Linked DNA regions of Ovis aries. The protein of the gene in region 1 interacts with the protein of each later gene in a pairwise test. Links are inferred from orthologs where the notes say so. Each region holds a gene or a part of one and is shown in the gene's direction. Other genes may lie near its edges. The genes, in order: WIPF1, FASTK and WWP2.

What was found.
Region 2: the proteins of WIPF1 (region 1) and FASTK interact in binary tests that used the Homo sapiens proteins (3 or more experiments, as listed by UniProt). The two-hybrid records come from large-scale screens. The link is inferred for Ovis aries from reciprocal best matches to the Homo sapiens genes WIPF1 and FASTK.
Region 3: the proteins of WIPF1 (region 1) and WWP2 interact in binary tests that used the Homo sapiens proteins (3 or more experiments, as listed by UniProt). The two-hybrid records come from large-scale screens. The link is inferred for Ovis aries from reciprocal best matches to the Homo sapiens genes WIPF1 and WWP2.

What each region holds. Positions count from the first base shown.
Region 1 is NC_056055.1:135,480,666-135,484,207, forward strand, and holds part of WIPF1 (WAS/WASL-interacting protein family member 1), read left to right. Parts: intron 1-1,076; coding exon 1,077-1,256; intron 1,257-3,542. UniProt on the Homo sapiens protein: Plays a role in the reorganization of the actin cytoskeleton. Contributes with NCK1 and GRB2 in the recruitment and activation of WASL.
Region 2 is NC_056057.1:115,271,032-115,275,195, reverse strand, and holds the start of FASTK (fas-activated serine/threonine kinase), read left to right. Parts: upstream 1-1,336; 5' UTR 1,337-1,435; coding exon 1,436-1,517; intron 1,518-1,544; exon of another isoform or gene 1,545-1,730; coding exon 1,731-1,784; exon of another isoform or gene 1,785-1,803; coding exon of another isoform or gene 1,804-1,842; intron 1,843-1,887; exon of another isoform or gene 1,888-2,072; coding exon of another isoform or gene 2,073-2,145; intron 2,146-2,329; coding exon 2,330-2,755; intron 2,756-3,429; coding exon 3,430-3,609; intron 3,610-3,716; coding exon 3,717-3,856; intron 3,857-4,164. Other genes in the region: TMUB1 (transmembrane and ubiquitin-like domain-containing protein 1), read left to right, coding at 216-567. UniProt on the Homo sapiens protein: Phosphorylates the splicing regulator TIA1, thereby promoting the inclusion of FAS exon 6, which leads to an mRNA encoding a pro-apoptotic form of the receptor.
Region 3 is NC_056067.1:36,378,913-36,383,038, forward strand, and holds the start of WWP2 (NEDD4-like E3 ubiquitin-protein ligase WWP2), read left to right. Parts: upstream 1-1,301; 5' UTR 1,302-1,316; coding exon 1,317-1,343; intron 1,344-3,593; exon of another isoform or gene 3,594-3,667; intron 3,668-3,804; exon of another isoform or gene 3,805-4,126. UniProt on the Homo sapiens protein: E3 ubiquitin-protein ligase which accepts ubiquitin from an E2 ubiquitin-conjugating enzyme in the form of a thioester and then directly transfers the ubiquitin to targeted substrates.

The sequences.
Region 1 (3,542 bases):
CGTATGCAGGCAGGTGAGTGTTGAAATGAATTTGCAAATAGGTGTAAAATAGGTCAATAATCAGTTGAATTACACTGAACACAGCTAATATGCATTTCTGTGGACAAATACGCATTATTTTCAGTTTTCTACAACTTACAGAGTTATAGACTACCTCAAAGGCAATGGGAAATGACCCAGAAGGCTAACTGGATACTTGGTAATCCTTTTCTTTCTTCTTCTTTTCCCTTTTTGTTGGTCTGCCCATTTCAGAATCTTTCACAATTTTTTTTTTTGGCAACAAATGCAAACTAAAACAATCTTTACATTGTCTCAAGTTGCAAAGAATTTTTAAAATGTTAAAGTCTACTGTTGCTTTTTATGATATTAAAAAATTGAAATCAACCTGAAAGGCCATCAAATAAGTAAATGGTTAAATAAATTACAGCACATTCATGTTCTAAAACACAATGCAATCCTTTAAACTCATGCTTTCAGAGAATATTTAATAACATGGGAAATGCTAACAATATTGAGTGAAAAAAGCAGACTAAAAACTATGTAGTGAATTTGGTCTTAATTTTAAGAAAAAAAGTATATCCAGTGAAAAAACTGGCAGGGGAAAAAATATACAAAAACAGCAGGTATTTCCATGAAGCAGAATTATGGGATATTTTACTTTATTCTATTTTTACCTGTTCCTTTCTTCTCACCTTTTATTGCATCTTCTCCTCCCTTAACACATTCTTTCTTTTAAGATACTTTTATTTGCCAAATTTTCTGATACAGAGCAAATAGATATTATTAATTCATATGGCAGTGAGCCATGTGGAGGAAAGACATTATCTATTACCAATTCTTCCACCACAGGGCTTGAGATAGCCCTGGAGTAGAAAGAACCCTCTTCTGCTTTTCTGACTAGAGATAGGGTGAGTCCTTAAAATCCTACCCTCTAATGAAATCGCAGTTGTCCACCATGGGCTTAGGGTCAGCCAGCTTCCTGCTGTATCATTATTGTTTACCTGGGCCAGGACTGGTGGAGTTCTCCGGCAGTGTCTTCATACATGTGAAAAGAATGTGTCTTCTTCCTTCTACAGAACCTAAAGGAGCTGCTGGTGGTGGTGGTGGCGGCGGCTATGGCGGAGGTGGCGGCGGCTATGGCGGAGGTGGCGGCGGAGGAGGTGGTGGAAGTTTTGGAGGAGGTGGACCACCCGGTTTGGGAGGACTGTTCCAGGCTGGAATGCCGAAGCTGAGATCCACAGCCAACAGGGAGAATGGTAAAGAGCATTTTCTTCCCTTAGTAACCGAAGACTAAGGCACAATCTGGCGGTTTGAGATTTGGCATCCCCTCTAAGGCACTATGCCCTTTAAAACATTTTAGATTGCTTGAAACGCTAACACCGTTTTATAAGAGGGACTCTATTTAGCATCGTTTTTTCTTTTTAAATCAGGATCAGACAGCTCCATCTAGCTGTTAAATATTTGCCCAGTGTCCTTGGGGAAACTTGTACTTTTTTGTACTTTTCTAAAGGGTGAGCTAGATTGGAAAGAAAAGGAAGGAGCAAATGAGAGAAAAATCATGGAAACTCTGTCTGGTGACATGGCAGATTCAGCTTTCTTTGTGAGGTAGTCTGACCTAGCTGTCTAGTGGAGTAAATACTTGTGAGTCTCTTTTCAAACACACAGTGGAGCATGTCTTAGAGAATATAATTACATATCTCACAAAAATCTAGAAGGGCATTTTGCCTGGCAGACATTTGCCATTTCAGGGCCAGCGATTCTAGTATTCTCTGCAGGAAGCCATGGAAATGGGTCCTATAGGAATGTCTGTGAACAGAATGGCAGAAAGAAAACTGAACCTGGTCATGCCTAAATTAAAAACCTTATAGAGTGCGTGAGGCTCTTCCCTGATTGTGACAGAAACTCAAGAAAGTTTTCCATGAAATTTTATTTTTTAATGTTTACTGTGCTAGAAGAATTTTATTTTTAATTCCATGGTCTTTTAAAATGTCACTGGGAAATTCTCACATTCACATGAAGATAAAGGCACTGAATCCTCAGAGTTAGCTGACTATGTTAGTTTTGGATTGTCAAAATCTAGAGGGAGACTCACTAATATAAGAGATTTTATCTTGCTAGGCCTGCATTTAGAATTTGTATATTTAAAACCTACTGAAAGGTTTTGAGGCAGCAGACATATGCATACGTTCAGTACTCTAATAGTAAGTGAGGAAATTTAGGCCAGAGACAACTGGAAGTAAAATAATTAAATGAAGATGGAATTGAAGTTAATGCACAAAATGGTGTACCAGAAGTATATACTTTCACAGCATACAATTTGCATATTGGGTCCTACATGTAGATGTAGCTATGGATAATAACTGTACCTTTAGGGCTTCCCTGGTAGCTCAGTGGGTAAAGAATCCACCTGCAGTGCAGGAGACCCTGGTTCAATTTCTGGGTCGGGAAGATCCGCTGGAGAAAGGATAGGCTACCCACTCTCTCTGGTATTCTTGGGCTTCCCTTGTTGCCCAGCTGGTAAAGAATCCACCTGCAATGTGGGAGACCTGGATTCAATCCCTGGGTTGGGAATATCGCTCGGAGAAGGGAAAGGCTACCCACTCCTGTATTCTGGCCTGGAGAATTCCCTGGACTGTATAGTCCATGGGTTGCAAAGAGTCTGACACAACCGAGCGACTTTCACTTTCATCCAAACTTTGAAGATAAAACTTATCACAAGTTGGTGACATAGAAACATACCACACAGCCAAGGAAAATATAGCTAATTTCTAGTGCTAAAGTCAAAACAAAAAATTCTCTCTAGAGTTCACATTACTCCATTGTATAAATCCAGCCAAATGTTTCTCATTGGACTTTTGGGTGAAATCTGAACTCCTTTTGGCCTACAAGGCTCTTAATCACCCGGCTTCTGCTGACCACTCAGGCTGCATTTGACAGTGTTCTCCTCTGTGCTCACTGTGTCCCTGGCATATGAGCCTTGGTTTTTTAACTTAAGCTTACTTCCACCTCAGGGTCTCTGTACCTGCTGACACTCCAACTGAAGCACCTCTCTTCCTCCTTTCCATGGCTGGCCTTAGCTCAAATATCACATCCCAGAGGAGCCATCCCCAGCCATGTCCACCTATCCTGGCCTCTCTAGAACTCTTCATGTCATCAGCCTATTTTAGTTTATTTTTAGTACTTATAATGATCTGAAAATATTTATGTTTACCGGGTTTTTGTTCATCTCCGTAAGAACATAAACTACAAGAGAACTGGATTGTTTCTATTTTGTTTACTCCTCTGCCTCTAGCATCTAGAATAATGGTTGGTTTATAGTATAGCAGGTACTCAATAAATAATTGGTGCATGTTTAAACTGGTAGGAGTTTCCAGGCTAAGCATTTTTTGAAGAATGAATTTGGGTTGCAAGAGACTCTGCAGTAGTGATTTGAATTTTTCCATAACTTTGGTTCCTCTTTAGTTCTGCCCTTTGCTGAACCAAAGCAGTCGAACATTAATTATGTAGTAGGGTGGTTCTGTCCTATATTATTGAAGTGGAAC
Region 2 (4,164 bases), on another chromosome or scaffold:
ATCACAGTCCTAGAAGGACCAGCAGAGATCCCGGAGATCCTCTTATAGATGAGGAAACTGAGGCCCCTAGTCACACACTGTATTGCTCCCCTGAAGCAGAAGGGCCCCACACACACACACCGTGGAGGCCAGAGGTGAGGGTAGGAGAGTTGTTCCGGACCAGGGGCCAGGAGTGCCTGAGACTCGCTCTATTACCCAGGTCCCTCTCTCCTCAGGACCCAGTTTCCCGGCCGGGAACAGCACGTGCGACTCATCTACCAAGGGCAGCTACTAGGAGACGACACCCAGACCCTGGGCAGCCTTCACCTCCCTCCCAACTGTGTCCTCCACTGCCACGTGTCCACACGGGTGGGTCCCCCCCTCCCGCCCTGCCCACCGGGGTCCGAGCCAGGCCCCTCAGGGCTGGAAGTAGGCAGCCTGCTGCTGCCCCTGCTCCTCCTGCTGCTGCTTCTGCTATGGTACTGCCAGATCCAGTACCGGCCCTTCTTTCCCCTGACCGCCACTCTGGGTCTGGCCGGCTTCACCCTGCTCCTCAGCCTCCTGGCCTTTGCCATGTACCGCCCGTAGTGCCTCCACGGGCTCTTGGCCACGCCACCGGCCTCTCGGGACCTTGCTCGCCACGACAAGGTGGGAGCTGCTGTCTGCCCAGGCCCGCCTCTCCGACCTGCCTCTTCCCACTACCCTGGAGCCCAGCGCTGCGCGGCAGAGCACTCCGAGGGGCGGCGGAAGCCCCTCCCTGTGACCTTCATGGCTCTGGGCCACCTCCCGGGGCAGCTGGCCCTCAGCGCCCCCTGACAGTGGGCTACCCCAAGTCAGACAGCTGCTGTAGTTGCCTTGGCCCTGGACAGAGCGGGGCCACGCCCCTGGGCCCTTAAGGGCTCAGCCTGAGGACCTGGGCACCTCTTAGTCCCGGATCGCTCCTTGGCTGGTTTGGGGGCCCGAGGACTGGGAAGGGCTGGAGAAGGGGAGTCGGGATGGGTGGAGGGGGCTTTCTGGAACACGTGCAGATTAAATAACTGTGACGTTTTCACTCTTGGCCTAGTGTCTGCGTGTGTGGGTCGTGGAGGAGGGGGGCTACGGGGAGCTCTGCCCTACTGGGAGAAAAGGGGTGGGCCAGATGCTTCGCCCTACCCTGCCCTGCCCGCCCAGGCCAACCGCTGCTCACTCCCCTCTGCACCCCAATCTCATCCCCCAGCCCTTTGGCCCCGCCCCTACCCCGCCCCTACCCCGCCCCAGGCCTTTGGTCCCGCCCCAGCCCGGCGCCGCGCGCGCGCAGCTTCCCGGAAGCAGGGGGCGGGGCGCGCGGCGCCCTGGCGCGCGGGGCCTGCCGGGAGCCACGTCTTTGCTGGCGGAGGACCTACTTGGCGCGGCGATTGGCGTCCGGGCCGCGCTGTTCGGGGGCTGCCGGGAAGATGGAGGACTCGGTGGCCCCCTGATGAGGAGGCCGCGGGGGGAGCCCGGCTCCCGGGCCCCGAGACCGACCGAGGGAGCGACCTGCGCGGGGCCTGGGGAGTCATGTAGGGGTGGCGCCTGCGGGGCGGGCCGCGGGGAAGGGCGGCGGGAGTTGGTGTTGGCGACCGCGACCACGGTCTCCTGGCATTCCCCCCGGGCCGCGGGTGGGGGTGTGTGTGGGGGCCCCCCTGACACCGCCGACTCCGCGCCGTAGCGCAGGCCGCGCCCGCGGGCTCCACGGGCGCCCTCCGAGGTGGCCCTGCGTTCTCGTTTCACAGGCGAGAAGGCTTGGGCAGGGAGACCGAAGCCACTTGTCCAAGGTCACGCAGCTGGTAAGTGGGAGCGCCCAGCATGGAACCCAGGACCACGGAGCCCGCGCTCCACCCTCCGGTACCGCCGCCGCCTCCTGCGGGAGGGGGAGGTGGTCGGGGGTGGGGGGGAGCGTATCTGTCCGGCGAGCTGGGTTCCAGGCTGGGCGCGACCACTAACCAGATTCGGGACCTCGGGGCTTGCCTTAACCCCCTCGCCTCCCTGGGCCTTGGTCTCTCCACCTGTGAAATCGAGATAGTACCAGCCCCTGCCTGCCTCCTCACGGGCGTGTCAGAGGAGGATCGGAGGAGATGATGCATGTGGAATTGCTCTGTAAAAAATCCTCCGCGAGAACTCTGAAGGATTCCGATTGCTCTCGCAAAGGTTGGAAGGAGTCAGAGAGGGGCGGGTTGGGGAAGAGGACCAGAGCAGTCACAAAGAAGGGTGAAGAGAATACGGGTTGCTCTGTCCCCAGACTCCTCTGGATGGGGAGCGAGGTGAGGAACAGAGAGTTGGTCTTTCTCCCCTTTGGAGAATACCTCACTCCCTTTTTTGGGCCACCCCTCAGGGTCTCCAGCACCCAACTCCATGCTTCGAGTCCTGCTCTCTGCCCAGGCCTCCAGTGCTCGTCTGTCTGGCTTGCTGCTGCTCCCACCAGTACAGCCTTGCTGTCTGGGACCCAACAAATGGGGAGACCACCGGCCTCCTGGAGGAGGCCCCCATGCAGGCCCTGTGCAGGGATTGCAGCGGCTTCTGGAACAGGCGAGGAGCCCTGGGGAGCTGCTACGCTGGCTGGGGCAGAACCCCACCAAAGTGCGTGCCCACCACTACCCTGTGGCGCTTCGTCGTCTGAGCCAGCTCTTGGGGTCTCTGCCGCAGCCCCCTCCTGTGGAGCAGGCCACACTGCAGGACTTGAGTCAGCTCATCATCCGAAACTGCCCCTCCTTTGACATTCACACCATCCACGTGTGTCTGCACCTTGCAGCCTTACTGGGTGAGGACGGTGTCTATGGGTGGGTGGGTGTCAATGGAAGGATAGAGAAACTGTAGCAGACCCACCTGAGATCACTGACAGAACCCACCTCAAGCTTTGCCAGGAATGGCACACTTGCTGAGTGATGCCACACTTGCTGCTCCTCTGCGGTATCCACGATAGTCATCACGAGTCAAGCAGCATGAGTTGCAGCTTAGGTTAGGGTGCCACCCCCTTTTTTGTTGTTTAGTCGCTAAGTCGTGTCTGGCTCTTCTGCGATCCAATGAACCATAACCCACCAAGTCCTCAACCCAATACTGGAGTGGGTTGCCATTTCCTTCTCTAGGGGATCTTCCAGACCCAGGGATCGAACCTGTGCATTGCCAGGCAGATTCTTTACCACTGAGCCACCAGTTCTCTTCTAATACAGTGCCCTAGGGAGCCACTGCAATTGATCATCATTGGCAAGAGATGAGATCTTACTGCCTTCTTTGTATAAGGCCTTTCCCACAGACGGTTGTGATACCTTTATTCACGTGGTAGTTCCTATTTCTCTGGTGTTTCCGCGTGCTCTGTAGCAGATCTTCCAGCCCAGAAAACAGAGATGAGAAGGACTGAGGATTCACTAACTAAAACTGCAGGATTGCAGAGCAGAGCAGCTCCTTCCCTGCCTCCTTTGACCCTCTGCCTCTCAGGCTTCCCATCAGATGGGCCCCTGATGTGCGCCCTGGAGCAGGAGCGAAGGTTCCGCCTCCCTCCGAAGCCACCGCCCCCTCTGCCGCCTATCCTTCGAGGTGGGCAAAGGTTGGAAGCCGCTCTAAGCTGTCCCCGTTTCCAGCGGCGTCCTCAGCAGCACCTCATCCGCAGCCTGGCAGGTGTCAGAGCGGGGGACAGGTGATGGGGGGGTGGAGGCAGGCAGTATCTGCTGGAATCTCACCCAGGTCTGGCCTGAGGGTCCAGCGTGATAAGCTGTTCTTCACAGAGGCCAGGCCTGAGGAACTGACTCCCCACGTGATGGTGCTCCTAGCGCAGCACTTGGCCCGCCACCGGTTGAGGGAGCCCCAGCTTCTGGAAGCCATTGCCCACTTCCTGGTGGTTCAGGAAGCCCAGCTCAATAGCAAGGTGGGATTGCCTCAGCTTCCCAAGCTCCTCTCCTAGTGGCCCTCAGACACCCCAGCAGGCCTAGCTCCCACCCCCCTCATCTTGTCCACTTGATTGACTGCTGCTTCCTGCAGCAGACCACCTACCTACGCTCTCTGGCCTCTCCCCTGGGGTACCACCTTGGCTCAAACCCCCACTGGCTTGTCCAACTCCCCACCAGGTACACCTGGTTCTCTGCACTTCTCCAAACATCCTTAGCCACTGTCTTAGCTTGGTCGATCCCACTCCACCAAGTCTTCAGGGCCAGAACCCGCAGCCGTGTCTCTGCT
Region 3 (4,126 bases), on another chromosome or scaffold:
AACTTGAGTGTAAATCAGAATCACCTGCAGAGATTGCAGAACTAGAAGCCCAGCCCAGTTTCTGATTGAGTACATCTGGGCAGAGCTGGACAAGCTGCTTTTCTAGTAAGTTTCAGGTGACATTGATGCTTCTGACCTGGGGTCACACTTGAGAACCACTGATTTAGGAGAATAGTCAGGAAAAGAAAGATCAGGCTTTGAGCCATTCTTTTTCTAGTAAACATTAAAAATACCTGTCAATATAGGTTTCTTGACACTTTGTAGCTTTTGTTATTTTTTGGCAATACTTTAATCCCTTTTCTTTTTCCCTGTAATGTTAGTCTCCAAGTCCCTTGAAGCCTTGGGACTGTCATTTGGTGAAAAAATACATACTGAGAGCTAATTTACACCACCATGATTTGGGTGATGTAATAGCTATGAACAAAATTATATCCTGTGTAGTGTCGAGGGGCAAGTTTGAGTTTAGAGGCCTAAGCTTTGGAGCCACATCTTGAAGGATGATGAGGGCAAAGACTCATGAGGTCTGAAAATCCAAAGGGAGTGTTCAGGGAGTTGAGGGTAATGTCTTTGGTAGCTGAGGGTGTCTGGGGACAGGTTCTCTCAGAAGTGAAGGAAGAAATTCCCTAGTGGCCTAGCGGTTAGGATTTGGAGCTTTCACTGGGAGACCCCAGTTTCATCTCTGGTTGAGAAACCATCCCACATGCTGCCAAAATACAAAAACAAAAAACACACAAAACCTCAGAGGACCCAGAAGTGAATTGAACCTTGAAACATAGAAAGTGAAGAAATCTCAAAATTATGAAAATTATTGTCACTGGAAACAATTTACCTTAATAAATGAACACTTTCAAACATATGTAGTGGAGAAGGCAATGGCAACTCACTCCAGTACTCTTGCCTGGAAAAATCCCATGGAGGGAGGAGCCTGGTGGGCTGCAGTGCATAGGGTTGTGAAGAGTCGGACACAACTGAGCGACTTCACTTTCACTTTCATACACTGGACAAGGAAATGGCAACCCACTCCAGTGTTCTTACCTGGAGAATCCCAGGGACACCAGAGCCTGCTGGGCTGCTGTCTATGGGGTTGCACAGAGTCGGACACGACTGAAGTGACTTAGCAGCAGCAGCAGCAAACATATGTAGAAGGACCCATGTATAACTCATTTGGAGATAATGACAACTTCAACATGTGAGACCCTTTATGAAAGAGAAAAGGTCTTGATTGTGTGCCAGTGAAGATCTGACTTCACTTCCAAGAAAATTTACAGGCTATAAAACTTTACACTTAACAGTTGGGTAGGGAAGAGAAAAACTTGATGCAGAAGAAACGCGACTTGAATTCAGTAAGTATATCTAGAATTCCTCTGGACTTTCCTGGGAGTGTCCCGGACTTTCTTATCTCTGCCTTTGACCTTGTTTTCTCTTCTGCCTGAAAATTCTTCTTGCCAACCCCCACTTACTTAGTCTCCAAGAAGCCACTCTGTTGTTCCCTCTGTAAACTTGTCCTGATTACCCAAATCAGAGTTTTCTCCAAGGACAGATTTGGACCCTTATTTCCCACCATACTTAAGACATTTCAAATCTAGCCCTCAATGAGCAGTTATTACTTCTGCTTTGCATTGCAGTTACTTGGTTGTCTTCTTTAAGTAGATTAGAAGTCAGGGACTGTTTTAGGGGCCTTTTTCCTTAAATGAACATTTCAACTTCTTTTTAGTTTTTTTTGGGTGCTTTCATGATGACATAGTTCAGATTTTTTATGTGTCTTAAAATATCTCCTGTATTGCAGGACCTATAGAAGCCAGTTCAGTGCTCAGTAAAAGTTGATGTAGCCTGTTCATTCAACGGATTATTTAAAGAGGCCTCCTATTGGCCAGGTACTGCTTTGGAAGCTGGGTTATAGCTCCTGTCTTCATAATTTTTTTGTAGGGGGTAACGTAACAGATTATACATATACACATTCATGTGAAAGGCAGATAGTGCTAAGTTGAGGAATTACGGAGAGAAAAAACAAAGCAGGAAGGTACTGGTAGGAGGGGAAAGGAAGAGATGAGTTGCGATTTAAACTAGTGTGACCAGGAAAGGCTTCACTGCAAGGGACAGTTAAGCAAACATATGAAAGAGATGAGGGGGTGAGCCAATTGACTACCCAGGAAAAGAGCTTTCCAGGAAGAGGGAAAAGCCAAGTCCACAGACCCTCAGGCTAGAGTGGCTGAAGCAAGGTACTGAGTGAAACTGCAGTTGGAGATGAGATAAACAAAGGGGAGGGGTGGAAGGGACCATGTAGAGAATTTATGAAAGAAAAGTGAAGCGCAAGAAAAGTCTTTCAGTCCTGTCGGACTCTTTGCGACCCCATGGACTGTAGCCTACGAGGCTCCTCCATCCATGGGATTTTTCCAGGCAAGAGTTCCGGAGTGGGCTGCCATTATTCAGGATATATATCAAGCTTTTACTCCTTTAACTCACAGTGAGAGACTGCCTTGGCTAATCCCTTTTTTTCTTTTGGTGAACACCTACTCAAATGCCACCAAATCAAAGAGGCCTTCCCCTAGAATAGAATTAGTACCGCTCCCATCTAAAGACTGTTACTAGGGAAATTTTAATAGTTTTATAGATGGGATTACTGTAAGAATTAAGGTGTTAACAGAGGACTGTAGCTCCTTTAAAGGCCATCTCCTGGATGGATTTGGGATGGGAAAAGTAGAGACTAAATGCTCAACCAGTTTAATTTGTATGCATATCTGATCCCTCCACCTGGAAGACCTAAAAATAAGACTAATTAGTTCACAGTGCTTAAGGCTAATTAGTTGATTCATACTCATTTTAGTTAATGCTGATTGAAAGTGAAAAATTTATTCAACTTGTCAAAGCTGAAATTCTTGACCATCGGTAAAGAATACTGACTTAAAATATTTTATTTTCCAATTCATAAAGTTCTACCTAATCTATATATTATCAAAATAGGGCTAGTTTGCTGTGCTGGGGCATCTTATGGACAACAGCAAAGGTTTCAGTGATTTTCTACCTTTGTTTTATGTCACAAGAACAGATGCTCCACAAAAGCTACTTTCGAGTTTCTAGAGCCTAGAAACGTGCCTGGCACATAGTAGGCTTAGGGTTGTCAGATATAGCAAATTAAAACATAGGATGCCGATTACATATGAGTATCAACTAGTTTTTTTAAACTATAAATATGTACTGTACCAGACAATATTTGGGGCACACTTCCGTATTAATGGCAGTTTAAAATTACAATTTAAGTCGGTGTTCTGTATTTTATCTTGTCTGTTAACCCTAAGGAGTTCAATAAATATCTGCTGACTTAATAGACTGAACGCCTCCTCTCACCTGTAAAATGGGGCTAAGATAGACACGCCCTCAGCGTTGATGGGAGGAGTAAACGAAGCGCCTGGCACTCTGCGAGATTTCAATTTGTTTGCTGGGAGACCATCTAGCAAGTGGAAAATCCTCCCACTTTTTAAACATACAAAGGACAAGAAGGCCTTCTGGCCAGAGGGTCTCAGGCCTGGCCTAGGTTGCCCACACCTGAGACCCGGCCAGCCTCTTCCGGGTCAGCTGACCGCGCGTGGTCACGTGACCTGGCCCGAGTGCGGTCTGTGGAAAGCGGAAGTGGGAGAGGAGTTGGGCGCCGCTTCTGTGGCCGCTGCAGGTAGCCAGCGCGGGCACTGGGGACGCAGCGGGCGGGTGGGGGCTCGGAGAAGTCCGGGGGCGGCGGGCGGCGCGGGGTGGGCCGGGGGAGGCGCGGCCCCGGCGCCGGGGGGCGGCGGCTTCCTGTGGGAGGGGCCTGGCGCGGCGGTTCCGGCCTCCGAGGAGGGGTGTCCCGACTCCCGCCCGAGCGGGGTGGGCGCGCCGCTGGCCGAGCGCGGGGGCTGCTCCGAGGTGGGCGCGAAGGCCGTCCTGAGTGCGGCGGCCAGCAAGTCGTTCCGGAAAGGGAAAGCATCATAGGTGCCAGGCATGAAGAGGAGTGACCTTTGTGGAGGAAGCGGGGCAGGGGGAAGGGGCGACTTGGGGGATTGAGTTGCAGTGGGTCGCCTGAGAATGGGCGAGTGACGTGGTGGGGAAAAAAGGAGAAATTAGCTAGCAAGAAGATGCAGCGTGAGCCTCACCT